Linked DNA regions of Drosophila melanogaster. The protein of the gene in region 1 interacts with the protein of each later gene in a biochemical or structural test. Each region holds a gene or a part of one and is shown on either strand. Other genes may lie near its edges.

Region 1 (8,303 bases):
TATACAAACATACTTTTAATTGTATATAATAGCGACGTTTAAACGCTGTTAATAGAAATCGAGTGAAATCGCCACACTGGTCGTTCATTATCAGCAAACGATGACAATTATTAATATTATTATTTACTCTGCCTCGCGGGAACTTGAATGAGTTTGATTTCCTTACGACCAGAGAAACTGGGAAATGAAACACAAAGAAATGAGCTAACGAAAGTGCTGGGATATATATAAAATATTTCAATATTTTGCCGTTCTGTATAATATTTTCATTTCCACAAAAGTGCGTTCACTAAATTATAATATATATATAATACTGCAAAGCATTACGAACAAAATTTCTATAAGTTCCTATAGTTAAAACAATAGTTTATATAGCTTTTTGCAGAATAATTTCAGTTCCTAGCCATTTTCCCTAAAACTAAGTATTTAGTTTGCCATTTTCTTTTTAAAATTTTATCGCTTACAAAGTATGCCGGTGTTTTTTTTTTTTAACCGAAATCGTCGTCAGCAAGACTATATAATTTACGATTTCACTTTTTGTGACGTCATTGGAGAGTGACCCCCATATGGCTGGCACCTCTTCCTCTTCCCGCTTGAGTGGTGAAGGGGTGAAGGGAGGGGGGGGGGGTGCTTTTCAGTAACGGTTGTCTGTATGCAGTACAGCTCTACGTGCTATAACGTAACCGAATCCGATCCACAATCAGCGTGAATTTGTTGGCTAATTGCATGACGGCTTCGTGAGTTTTTTAAATCGAGTTTAAGACAGCGAAGAAAAAAGAACCAAGTCATGGCGATCAGCTGTTTGGAGGCCGTCGCTATCACAAAATAAAAAGAACCGAATCCAAACTTGGCGCAAAAGAATTCCAAATTAGCAAAGTCCAAACTAAAAGTAACAGCCAATAGGAAAACAAACGATGTACAAATTTAGTGTGTTATATGCCTAGTCACGATCGAAATCTATGACGTGGTGATGGTCGATCGACAATATTTGCATTTTTTATTAACAATTCCGAGATAGTGGTATTGTGAATTTTGCCTAATATATATATAGTTCCTATTCCTTGCATCAGACTATATACTATACTGACTCAGACTTGGCAACTCAGAAATATTTCACATAATTTCATGTCTTGGAGCTCCCACACGATATGGTGAAATCGAAACTTGGGTTAAAGCCCCCCCAACATAATACAACTGACTCACGGCAAATCAACGAGTTGTTGAATAACATTAGCAATACTTACAATCATCTCCAACTGGACCGGCTGAACATTGTGCAGGTGGATCTCTGCCCAGATCTTGCAGTTCCTGTTGAACAAAGACATTTTCAAATTAGTCATTGAAATAAAAGTTAAATATAGGTATGTAAGCTCAGTCAATTTCTGATTGTTTTTAACAGTTATGTCAAGTCCTACAAAAAGAACTGGTTTTTAAAGAGTATATCTAATTTCTAGTCAAACCTTATATACTACCTACTTTCTGAAAGCATAGGTAACAAACCTAGCAATTGCAATACAGGAAACCCCAAAAAGAATTCTCGAAATGGGAAATGGTCAAAAGTGCATTTCATGGATATCTGCTTATGTTTTCCGGTAGTCGGTTCTTTTGTTTTGCTCTATGATCCAGCTATATGTACATACATATGTATGTATGTACCACGGTTTTCCGGGTGTGCGTACATTTTATGCTGTGTGGTTGGTATGCAAATGATGTAAATTTTAAATGCAGAATTTAAAAACAGATATGTGGGGATACAAAATAAACATTTTTATGCGAGAGCTTCGTTCGAAGCGAGTGCGAGCGAGAGGGAGAGACGTGAAAAATCAAGTTCGTTGGCCCGGACCACAAATGGCGCTGTCTCCTTCTGCCCCACCCCCCGACCAGTCGCTCCATCCCTGTTGCACTCGCACGCACACAGCTGAGCGGCTCCCCTCCCTCTCTCTTACACTCCGACTCTTCTTCACTTATCACAGCTGCCCCACACACACACACTCCAAACGGGGAGAGAGAATGAGGTGTAAGGTAAACCGGCAAAAAAAAAGAATATATATATAAAAAGAATAATGAAGATGAGCTGCGAAAGAGTAGCGCGACTCAGTGGAGAAGTAAGAGGAGGAGCAGCAGGAGGAGGAAGAATGAAGGAGAGTGAGAAGACTGAGCTTCAGTGTATGCGTGTGTTTGTAACGGCACCACAAAATCAGAGTGGAGCACAACAAAAATAGCCGTCGCGAAAAACACCGTGTTTCTTTGCCCCATCTCACTTACTCATTTTGGGAATTGTACCTGTTGAGCAAAAATAAATTACAAGAAATTGTTACATTTCTTTTTTCGTTGGGAGTCGGAGCGGTTATGACTCATATCAGACGAACAAATGAAGTAAAAACAAACACGCACACTTGTGCACAGCAAGAAAATTCGATAATATTATCAATATTAGACCAGGTGCACTACCAATACAAACTTCTATTTAATTCTTATTCGAATAATTAATATTGTGAACTTTAAGAATTGGTTCAGTAAGACTAAATGCCATATGCATTGGTTCTAAAGCCCATTTCGTTCAGTGTACGGTTCAAGTGAGCTCCGATCGGCGTTTAAGCCGTTCTCTCTCGCTCTTTAACTCTCTTTTTTGGCAAATGAGGCCATCTAGAGAAAAAAGGCTTTTGAAGAATTGACCACAAAAAGGGGGCGTGAGTGATTTTAAGAGTTTACTACAATGTATACTTTTATTTCCGGTTTGCCGCTTGCCATTTCGTTTTCATTTAGGCAGGCATTAAAATGTTATAATGGATAGAAAACTACGAAAAACGAGGAAAACTCAATGGCCATGACGCCGACGCAGGCAGCGCTGCTTTTGTCGAGACAGTCAGCAGACCCCCGCCCCACACATTCAAACACAAATACACACCACGCTCACACATACGCATAGATATGAACAAATTCCGCATTCGCTGCTCATTTTGTATGTAAATTATGCTTAATTATAATTTATAACTAATTATTTGGGGGCCCCCTTTTGGCTGACGGTGTTTTGCAACACTAAGCCCCGCTAGCACTCACACACTTGCGCTCTCTTTGGCTCTGCCCCATTGCGCGAGCGGGACCGAATGAGGCCTCAGCTGTCGCGGGCAAAGGGAATGCGCCAGGGCCAGAGCGAGATGGCATGCAATGGCCATAGCCAAGTGATGGCGAGACTTTGTATTTGCGAGCGTTTTAATGTGTGTGTGTGTGGGGTATGACTATGATAACCGGCTTCAAACGTAAAAAAAGATCCCAATTTGCCAAGTAACATTTCCACAACTTCGAGATATTACTAATGCTTTTGAGGAAGGCTGGGATGACTTTGAAAAAATATCGGGTTGTCAGGGCCTTGAACATTGGGGTGTAAAAAAGCATTTACTGGACAAGGACAAACGACGCGCAGGCACTTTAAAAATAATTATCGAAGCACGCACGCTAGAACCACTCTACCTAAATACATATATAAATATATATGCTTGGGGGCAGCACTATTTCTGAATTATCAGCGCAAAAAGTAGGGTTAGGTTAATTTTATACGCTTCTTGCTTTTGCTCTGTTTTATTTTTTGCTGGATCTTTCTGCGGCGCTGGCAGTGTGTGCGTTTATGTGTGACTGTTGCGAGGCTGAGAGTGTGTGCGAGTGCCGTGTACAGCGTGTATTGGGTAACAGCGCCCGTAGAGCTGCGAAAACTCCGCCGTATAGTTGCATTAATGTAAATGCATCCAGGTGCCCGGCACACACGCACACAAACAATGCACATTTGCATTGCACTTTCACGCACACGCATCGCACACACACTTATCCCACACTCTCGCAAAAGTAACGGAAGCGATGACTGCACTACACGTTGCCTTGCCCACCACACACACACATCCTTATACCTTTTTCACCACCCTCAAAATTTCTAATCTGCTCCTAATTACTAACTTATTAATTAAATGGTAACTCCACAGCTCATTTTCTCCCTTCCCTCTTGCACGCTTCTTTCCCCCCGCTTCTTCTTTCTTCTCCTCGGTTACTACCTACGTTTCACATTTCTTGCATAAAATTTTTCTCCCGTTGAAAACTGATGTCTGTTCGCTTTTTTTTTAGACTATCATTTTGGTGTATCGCAAAGGGTTCTGTTCTTTCTTTTTTTAGTCCGTTTCGCAAAGTTTTTTGAGATATTCCTTTTTTCACATACCTTATTGATTCTTTTTAACGCCATTTTCTGATTGAAATTTGATTTTCTGGGTTGTGTGTGTGTTTGGTTGGTTGTGTGTGTGTTTGGTTGGTTGTGTGCTGGTGTTGGTGTCTCGCGTATTTCTTTTGTTCTTCGCACAGAATTGGGTTTTATTCAATATATAATCCTCCTGCTTAGAATTGAACGAAAAACGAAACACAAAGCTGCGTTGCGCCTCTAGAACTTTGATGCTTAAATATGGCTCTTTCGGTTGAGTGTCCCTTGTCACGAAATAAAGCAGCACCAGCGCACTGCAAGTAAAAACGGCGACCCGACGAAGACTACGGCGACGATTATTTTTTCACAATCAATGCGGGGCCTTTCGACCGTTTGTGCGATAGAGACGACCGTTAGTGAGCTGAGAACGCAACGAAGCACAATCGTTACACCGAAGTGTAAGCCCGAGCGAGAGGAATGGTGTGTCTGTGTCGTGTGGTAGTGTTGTGAAGCGGAAGTCCAGCAGAGCAGTCCAGCTATATGACCTTTTCGCTAGGGGTGGCCAGATCGATTGGGTGGCAACGCCTTTTAGGTGAGGGATGAATCAGTTAATTACAATTTGATTGCCAATGCAAGACTCTTCATACTCACTTTAGTTCGGGAACAGCCAGAAGAAATAGTTTTACCGGCAGCGAGGAGGTGTTATATTTTATTCGAACTACCTTCTTATCGATGGTGCGTGCGCCCAAAAGCTTGCAACTTGTATGTAAATTTGTTAACACCCAACGTGTTGCAGGCTGCCGGAATGTTTTTACTGAGCAATTTTGAGATGTTGGTAATCCGAGTTCTTGAAAACTTTCCGACTAGCTACTGAGTTCTACAACTGAATTGACAGGGCGTTATTTTAAAATTTAAATTCACTCCAGAGCGCTGGTCTGGCAAGGCCGACGTGCCAATTCAGGATACTTGTCGATATTTTCCGTTGTGCTATCGATAGTTTTTGGGAATAACAGGCGTTAGTAGATTTTTAGTATTTAGATTTTATTATCATAAGGATGAAAATATTTTTAACAAAATAAACTGGTTCATTTAATTTAACTTTTTATTTTCTCACTACTCCAAATGGCGCTTCCGCTGTCTGAAACTGCCGTTATAATAGTATGAACAGTTAAAACAATCGACGGTAGCTGAATTTAATCAATGCAGCCCTCTTACCCTATACATCGATAGTATCGCATAAACATCGATTTTGGTTCCAGCTCTAACTTTAACTGTCTGCAAAATATTTCAAACAAAAGTGTTTGTTAATTAAGTAATATACTTAATATTAGTGGCTGTTTTGCTTCGACATTGATCGAATTGCGGTTGTGCAAGTGTTTTGTTTGATTTGTTGGCGTGTTTTTCCTAGTTTGGCGGCCCTTTGAACTCGTTCGTGTATCGCCATCTCTCTCCCACCCCCGCAATCGGCTTCGTGCGTATTTTTTTGTGAATTTTTACACAGAACTCACACTTTTGTATGGCCCAAGAATTTGTACAATATTTTTGCACTTGAAAAACAAGAAATAATGAAGAAAGCCAAGATAAACGCGACGATGTGCAAGTGCTAATCATTCAGTTTTGGCAAGCGCTGAACTTCGCTGACTTCTTGAACAGCAAAAAAGATGGAGGAGGATAATGCCAAGGTCCTAAGTAATAACAACAAGAACAACAGAAACAACAATAAGGGACGCCAGCAGCTGCAGGGACACGCCCACAGCTCCGCCACCGCCCACGCCTCCGTCGATATATTTATATTCGATTTATAGTAGCTGTAGTTGTAGTCATGCCAACAACAAAAACGCAAACACAGACAACAACAACTTGCAGCGAAGAGGAAGAAGCGGCGATAATACGAGAAAATTGCGATACGCCAATGGCGACCCCAGCAAATGCAACAACAGCAAACACAACAACTGCAGCACCCATAACAACAACAACAACAACAGTAAATACGCGCAGACAAGAAGAAGCAGCAGCAGTAGCTTCCACACCTAGTGTTACGAAAACGGCAACAACAACAAACATACTAGCCGCTGCAGCGGGATGCCACAAGCCGTTATTCTTCAGCCGCCGCTTTCAGGACAAACGGAACTTTAGCTCGCTACCGCTCTTCGTCTACGCGACCTCGCCATCAACGCACGCCCACTCAGCGGACGGAGTAGGCGTGGCCAAGGAGGCAGCCGCGTTTTGCCACAAGGTGAGTTTGTTGCACAAAGAACCAGATAAACTTGTAATATTAGGAGAACAAGGAACTTCTATAATTGCCAATCAAATATAATATATCCCCTTTAAGTTATGTATTATAAAATGTAGTATTTTATTTAAACTTTGATAATGCCATTTGTATGTATTTAGATTTAACCCCAAAACAGGAAAAGAAAACCAAAAATAAAGAATTCTGGTTGGAACAGAGAGTTTCCAGTTCGAGGGATTCGTTTGGCATGTCACAGAATTGTAATTGTAATAAAACCCCCATGGGTTTTAATACTCATTTTCTACCTTCCACTCTGCCATCTCTTTTTTTCGAGCAATCGCACCGCTCTTTCCGCTCTAAACTTGCGTAATGGATCACTTCCGCTGCACTTGCAACTTGGGTCGTGTCATATCTGAATATATAATTCCCGCCCAATTCATAGTTTAAACAGTAAGCTCCGCCTAAGAAGAACGCGCTAATAACTCCGTGGTTATACTTAAATGAGTTCTTGATCCAGATTATAAATTTAGATACCTAATATTCAAATAGATATAGCTTTAGAAAAGTTGTAAGTTTAGCATGGTTGGTTGTTTCGTTTGTAGCCACTAACTACTGTATTATATTTATAAACGTTCTGCTTGGCTGCCGCAGTCCGCCTATCTGTTCCTCTCGGAAATCGGTGCATGCAGAATCAGATCTCCATTGGAAATGCGTTTTTAATGTTAATCACGAGCGGCTTTAAAAAAATTGTTTACACTGCGTTTTTTTTGGGCTGTTTGTTTTTTTTTTTATATATTTTTATATCAGTACCTTTTTTCGAGTTTCTGCAGCACGGTGATCGCTCAAACGTGTCAGACATTAATGAGCCAACCGCCAACCGCCAAAGCCGAGCATAACTGTGCTTTGTCTCATTTTGATGGGGCTAGGAGTGGTGGACGGAGGGAGGGATGGGGATGGGCGGTATGGGCAGGTGGTTACAGGTGCAGCCATTGACTGGCGCAGCGCTCTCCTTTTGTTGCCGCCCGCTTGCGGTTCGTTCTCTCCCTCCCTCGCATGCCAACCGTACGGTCTGCCCTCTCTGTCGCGCACTGCAACGCTTCACTTGTGCTTCACTGTGCTTGTTGTTTTTGTTGCAGTTCAGTGAGTTGCGACTTGTGCGCTGCTGCTCATAAGCTTCATTAACGTACGTCGGCAAACGCAGACAACAAAGCTCCCGAAAAAAATTGTTTGCCAGTATTTTTTGCCCAGCTTCGGTTTTTCCCGAAGCTACACACATTTTCATGGTCTGGAAAAGTCGATGGGAATGGTTAGAAGAGACATCCTATTGTTCATTTCCTCAAAACATGATACAAGTTTAACGTGCATATCTTATTTGGGTATTTCCAGCAGAATTTGTTAAAAAATTGTCAGTTAAATTGCATTTATTCTTGCAGTCTAATATTATATGTCTTTAAAATAAGAGTTGGAATAACAGAAGAAACATAAAGCAATATTGTAATGATTTGTATTTATTACCTTTCAGGCCGTAAAACCTGGTCAAAACATTAAATTTGCATAAAGTTGTAATAACTTGTAAACCTTTTTTTTATTACCTACATCCAATATTATTTTTATTATTCAATCAAATTGAGATGCAATCTGCATTTTAAATATTTACCTTACGTATTTCTCATGCTTTCTTTTCAAATTTGATGATCAGATCGTTTGACACTTTCCACTGGTTTACTGCGCTTTCTAACGTGGGTTTCCCCCAAAAAAGTGCCCAGTGGGTGTGGCACCCTCGTATGTGATATGCCCCATTCGGTATGGATAGGAATGTTTGTGGGCGATACTTTCGAGGCACAGTGGATCATAGCATTTTGTGGCAGCTTTCGAAACATTCTGATAGAT
Region 2 (6,470 bases), on another chromosome or scaffold:
TGCCACACATTTCCCCCCGAGTTGCGCAATGCCTCGCGTGCTTCGTTTTGGGACACAGTTCCGATCGTGTTTTCACCCCTCTCCTGTCCGTACTTGGTTGACAAACTCTGCACCGTCTGCACCAGCTTGTGCCAGTTCTCGCGCAGCCACTGAATCGGATGAGTCTCCGGGGAGCAGTACTTAAGGGCAGCTTCCAGTTCCTCAACCGTAAACTTGTACAGCTCCAGTTCTTTCAGTATGATGTGCATTTCCGTTTCCGGATCTCTGGCCGGCTCATGCTTGACTCCGAATGTCTCATGCGGCATATCGAAAGGTGAAGATACTTGCTGTAACACATGGATCCGTTGGATTATGTCAACTATCAAGTATTGCCATAGATACTTACAAGCTGCAGCATGCGTAGCTCGTTTATGAAATTGGGTCTTTTGGTGACCAGACCGGCACTATATGGATCCAATCCAAAGCCGTCGTGATACCTCAGGTCATTGGCACTCCGATAACGTTCACTCTCCTGTTGCAGCTGGGAATTGCTGCGATAGTGCGGACGTCGCTCCATCTTGTTTGGTTCTGGAGTCGTGAAGCGGTCAGGAACAACGGGGATGATCTCTTCTTGCTTTGTATTGAAGGGCAGAGCGTCGTAGGTCTGTGTGGAAATGCTTTGTGGAGGCGGGGAGGTTCCCATCTCCACAGCTGCTATTTCCCGGGGAGGAGTCCCACCACAGGCCGTGGAGACCTTCTGAGCCTTCTTGAGTACCTGCTCCGCCTGCGCCTGTATGCTCTCATCCAGAGTATTCCAAATGTTTTCAACGGACTCTGGAACGATACGGATGAGAGCATTAGCTTTTGGGGGAACGGGATCGGGGTCACCAACGGATTGAAATCAAACAAACGGAATGCGGCTTGGGTTATGGTTCTCTTTTGTATTTCGTTTCCATAAATGCGTTAATTGTAGGCTTACAGTTGATGGCTCTATTAGTGTACTAACTAGGTATAGTCTTTGGTGGTTGGGCTTAGGTCTTTGTGCCTTCGAAAAATGAGATTCTCTTTTGTATCCTACCTTTGTGCAGAAGACTCTTGGCCAGCGAGTTATCGGATTCATTTTCCGACGAAGTTTTCAGTGTGGATTTCGATGGTGTCTTGATAGGAATACTGGAGGTGGTCTTGGAGTTTACAGCTGGCGACGCTTTTGAGCTAGACGTGGAGTTGGTGTGAGTAGTCTTCGAAAGAGCAGCAACGGATTTCTGACTGGGTTGTTGGCTCTTTGTAGTAGGCTTTTGCACTGGCTTAGTTTCCGTCTTGGAAGACGCCTTGATATTGTTAGACTTTTCAGCTGGAGGCTGTGGTTTTTCCTCTACCTTTTTGGCCTTGTTGGGCTGCACTGGAGGTTTGCTGGGCGTCTTGCAGCATATGGAGCAGATCTTGATGTTGGGCTCGTTCACAAACGTGCAGAACTCGCATTCCCATTCGTGGTCTGGGGTAGAAGGTGGTGGGCCGAGATCATCAGCCCCAATCTCGTCAGGAACTTCCTGGGGATCGGGTGCTGTTTGAGCCTCAGCCTCACTCTCTGAGGCGGTTACCTCTTCGACCACTTCCTCGTATTCCGAGGCACTCTCTTCATGGGCTGGTGGCACCACCACCTTTTGCACCACCGCTGCCGCCTGTGTATTCTCGTCCTTCATCTCCGGCTTGCGTTTTGGCTCAGCCTTCTTCGAGGATTTGTGCTGATCGGCTTCTTGGAGCTTCTGCTGAATTTTAGCTTGAACCAAGGCCCGAGCACCCGATCCCTCAGACTCCAGATCGGAGTAAATGCGACTGGTTCTGGCCGAGTCCGTTGCTGTTTTGTTTCTGGTAAGGGTTCCCTCATTTTCCCGTCGCTCCGGTAGCCACTCACTCTGCACGGACTTGGCAATGGATCCCCGACGATTCCGCATCTTGTGATGCACCTGATCGCCGTCCAATTCATCGCTGGCTATGAGTTGGGAGGCACTGGACAGGCGCCTTTGGCGGGGCTGGATATGGTTTTGGTGATGCTGGGAGCGCGAGGCACTAGTCATGCCCGAGCGATTGGACACCAAAGATCTGCGGTCATCCTGGTCGGAGTCCTCGTCATCCGTAAGTTCGTCATCCACGTAGCTATTGCGCTTGCGACGCAAGGACATCGATTTGCGGCTGGGTGTTGGTGATGCAGCGTACCGGGAACGGGATGCAGCTCTGGAGGCAGCTGAAGGTGGCATTCCCATGACACCTGCGCATTTAAAGTGCAATATGTAAATTAAAATATAACTAATAGTGCCTCATTTTACCTGGATGCATCATGGGATAGCCTGGTGCTCCTGGATACACATTGGGCATCATACCACGCTGGGTCATAAACACTGGTGGCGGATAGTGTGGATGATGTTGCTGCGACATGTAACCCGGTCCAACGTTCAGGGACAGATTGGAGTTGTTGAATTGCTGTTGGGAGCCGAACTGTGACCACTGATCGGGATGCTGGTGCTGAGGAAGTGCTTGGTGCGGATGCTGTGCCCAGCCAGGATGCTGCTGACTCTGTTGACATCCAGCGCAGTTTAGCTGCGCCAGGGATTGGGCCTGCAAGCGGGATGGTATCTTAGTTTCTAAGGGAGCATGAAACTCTAACTCACCTGCTGGATGCGCTGATTGGCGAGCCAGGCACCTCCGTTTTGGGCCTCGGACAGTGGTCGACGTGGATTCGAGTTGAGATTGAACACCGATGTGCTCATCTGTCGCCGCTGGGCGCCGGCCGCCTGTCGTTGTTGGAGCAGCAAGGAATTGTGAAATTGTGAGTCATCCGAGAGATCGAAATGGGATGAGTTCAGGCCGGATGACATGCTGCCGGAACGAAAATGCGAGGGCGATGGTGAAATGTTTGACCAGTGCTCGAAGCCGGCTTCATTCGACAAATGCTGCGCTTGGGAAATGACCAACGAGAAACGGAAAAAGAAAGAGAGAGAGAGAGAGGAAAGGGAGAAACGACACATGACGAAACGAGACGAGACGATACGATACGAAGTGCAAGGATCAAATACTATCAAGGATCAATGATTAATAAATTAACATTTCATTTACAATTATAACTGATCCTTGACACAATTTTCGCCGAGCAAAGACAATACGATACACTCAGTGATGAGGGGACTCGTACGATTGTGATTCGGGGTCAACGGGTCACTCACCTGTTCGCTGTTGGCGCTCAGATCCTGGCGAGCCTTCTGTTGGCGGTACCGCTGCTGCAGAATGGCCATGCGGTCCAGCGTGGCGCTGGCCTTGCTCTTGATCTTCTCCAGCTGCACCGACGGCGGTCGCTGGATGGTGTCGAACACGGACTTGGGGGTGCCCGATCTGGAAGATCCCCCGCCCTCGCTGCGCGGTGGATCGGGCAGTGGTCGGTTGTTCATCTGGTTGGCAGAGCTGGTGGCAATTGGTGGCACTGGGGGCGTGGCCCCGCCACCGAGCGATCCCCGCCAGCCGCCCAGCGACTTGTGCGAGGGCGTGGGCGAGGGCGGCGGCAGCATCTGGAAAAGAGTCGGGTTGGGTGCCATTTCGTATGGGTATTCGGGTAACAATTGAAAAAGTATGTCTGGATCGCTGTTTCTACAATTTTGGTCGGGCGTTCTGGTTGTAAGGACTCTTTTATTGAAGCATTCAAATTGAAGTTTACAAACTTGGTACTACGTGTAGCCCATGAAGGAGCCTTTCTTACGGGTCTAGGAGATCGTGCAGTGGCGTACCTGATCCTTGCGGCCCAGAAACGGTGTCAAAAGGCCTCGTTTGCTGCGTCGTGGAGGTGCCACTGGTGGTGGTGCCCCACCACCGGCCTGTGCCTTTGGCGGAATCGGCGGTGTGCCCTGCTCCACAGCCTGCAAAACGAAGTTCTTAAGTTCAAATTCATAATGGATCGGGAGAACTTACCTTTCTCATGTGCTGCTTACGTTTGGGATGCTTGTGGAACATGTCGTCGCAGGAGGCGCAAAAGATTTGGCCGGCGCACTCGGCACAGGTTACCCAGGGATTCTGGGAACCGCACAAGGTGCACTTTAGTTTGTTATCTGCAAGTGATAATTATCTCTGGTAGTATTTTAAATAAGTGGAATATATAAAAAGGTTGCCCACCTGGTGTCTTGGTTCTGATCACTGTGGTCTTCATCGGTTCGTTGGAGTACTGCTGGCTGGAGAATTCGATGATCTCGTAGTCCGGCTCGGGAGTGCTCTTCGCCTTGGGCGGCAGAGCAGGCGCCTTGGGAAGACCACCAGCCACACCGTTTGGTGGCGTGGGTGGCGGTTTGGGCCCAATGCGGTCATTTGCCTCCATCTGAAATGGGTAATTAGTGCAATTGGATATTGACTGGCAAACTGGATATTGGCTTACCACCCAGGAGGGCATGGTGCGAACATTCTTGTTTAGCAACTGGTGGGTCGTCATCTTGGTCGATTTTTTCGTCTGGGTTTTGCCGTCACTTAATCGTCTTTTTGCGCTTGATTGGTTTTCTATTTCATCGAAATACGTAAGCAGCAAAATATTAATATTATTATAATTATTTATAGATCGCAAATACCCTGTGCCATATTTTCGCCCAACCGCAGCCACTTCAAACGACTTCAAATTCAATTAAGCAAAGTGCCAGAAAATGCGAATTATGAATGCATATTTTTAGCTGGCTCACCCAAATTCCGAAGCCAATGACCAAAATGCAGTTTCGTGGATGCCGTGCACAAAACTAAACGCTGCCACAGTTCGATCGCGAATAAAAACGCTAAATGTAGTCGAAAATATCTTTCGGTGCATAGAAAACAAAAATTGAAAAATGTATATATTTTGGCATAACATTTTCGGTCTTGTTTATTTATGAAATCATGCGAAAGAGGGAAGTGCTGTTTTGTGACTCAATCGACTCATTCTGTCAACGCGGCTAAGTGGCTGAGATGCCAAGAAAATTGCAAAAGAGATTAGACTAGGGAGAAGAATTCGAATTTGAAAATAGTTCTCAAAAGTTTCGAATAGAAGAGTATTTCATGTAAATGCTTGAAAATAAAAGCGAGCGAATAAAACTAACAGAGAGAGGGAAAATATTGACTAAAAGCTGAGCGAATATGCATTTGGTAATGACGCAGGTGGCCAAATCGTTGCCAAATAGTTTAAATTAAATAATGGCCTAAACAACATAATAATTCCATTAGTAAAGGTATTTCAAATGCTGACTTTAGTATATATTTTAAGTTTACTATAATTGCGTCCAAGGCATCAAACTTTTCAACTCAAAGGGCAACGCACCGGTAAAAGTTATATGTATATAACTAAATATTTCATATATAATTAACTTATTAGATATCTATGTTTCTTCATGTTTTATGAAATGTGTATCTATGATACCAAGGAATCATTTATCTCTTGCATATTCTTGTAAGTTAAGATTGAATGTTAATTAAACTTTTTAATATACATATCTGCACTTCAAAGTTTTCCTTACTACATTTTATATTCCTGATACTTTGAGACAATTTCCCGTTTATTGAATATGTTTTATATCTCAATAATATCTTTTAGAGCATATATTAATCCAGCAGCTCTGGCATATTTTCCACGCACTAGTTAAGTGCGTAACGAGCCATAAAATTTATCCATAAATTTCGGAGTCGCGACGCCTCAGCCAGCATAGCAAAAATCAAGCCACACTGTTCTCTCGCATTGCGTATACGCAACGTGTTCGCTGGGCCTGCACTCCCGTGTCTGTTGCGCTATTTTTGAAACCATCCGCAGCCACTCCATACATTTGCCCCGAAATTGTGTCACACTGTGCAGCAATATTTATGAAAGCCGCCTGCAGTGGTGGGAGGGGCATGGCCCGGTGCCACCTCAATCCCGCCCAGAAGATCGGCCTGCTCCGTGCGGCGACTTCGAGTGGCAAGTGGCCTGGCAAGAGGCAAACGCAACGCTGACTCACAGACACAGACTCACGCGGCGAGGGAAAAAGTTTTATTTTTATAGGAGAACGAACGGTGGGAACTATTTTTAAACATTTCTTTGGCTTGCCTATATTTGCGTTTTTTTTTTTAGTTCACAGTTTTTCATTATTTCAAATTGGCAAATTAGCTTAAAAAATTTGATTTAATTTTGTATACTTTATTTTACGCTTTGATTGTTTATCCCGGCCAATGCCTTGAACTTTCCCATGGAGAGCGTTCTCCGCGTTTAAAATTAGCTGAGTTTTATATTTAGAACACTTGAGATCGATTTAATTGCGGTGTGATTTTAAATTGGCTTTTGAACTTTCGTAATGGATTCGATCGACCATGAACGGTTGGATATCCGCGAAATCAGAGGTCACTTACATAATTCGATTTCACTTGACGCGTCTTGCCGCACTCAAAACTGCCACTGCCAGCTGGTAGCACATGAATATATATATATATATATATATATATATATATATATATATATATATAGGGAT

Evidence for each region. Proteins that work in one complex are often made in the same cells at the same time.
Region 2: of the proteins of eff (region 1) and LUBEL, one has a biochemical effect on the other in vitro, tested with the Drosophila melanogaster proteins (one study listed by BioGRID).

What each region holds. Positions count from the first base shown.
Region 1 is NT_033777.3:14,736,176-14,744,478, forward strand, and holds the start of eff (effete), read right to left. Parts: upstream 5,145-8,303; 5' UTR 4,832-5,144; intron 4,766-4,831; 5' UTR 4,229-4,765; coding exon 4,205-4,228; intron 1,309-4,204; coding exon 1,245-1,308; intron 1-1,244. Other genes in the region: jvl (javelin-like), read left to right, coding at 6,003-6,416. UniProt on the Drosophila melanogaster protein: Catalyzes the covalent attachment of ubiquitin to other proteins. Mediates the selective degradation of short-lived and abnormal proteins.
Region 2 is NT_033779.5:6,766,201-6,772,670, forward strand, and holds the start of LUBEL (linear ubiquitin E3 ligase), read right to left. Parts: upstream 4,769-6,470; 5' UTR 4,686-4,768; intron 4,510-4,685; 5' UTR 4,445-4,509; coding exon 4,391-4,444; intron 4,334-4,390; coding exon 4,135-4,333; intron 4,071-4,134; coding exon 3,934-4,070; intron 3,882-3,933; coding exon 3,753-3,881; coding exon of another isoform or gene 3,729-3,752; exon of another isoform or gene 3,637-3,728; intron 3,537-3,636; coding exon 3,198-3,536; intron 2,928-3,197; coding exon 2,646-2,927; intron 2,593-2,645; coding exon 2,304-2,592; intron 2,246-2,303; coding exon 1,058-2,245; coding exon of another isoform or gene 1,011-1,057; exon of another isoform or gene 896-1,010; intron 814-895; coding exon 386-813; intron 327-385; coding exon 1-326.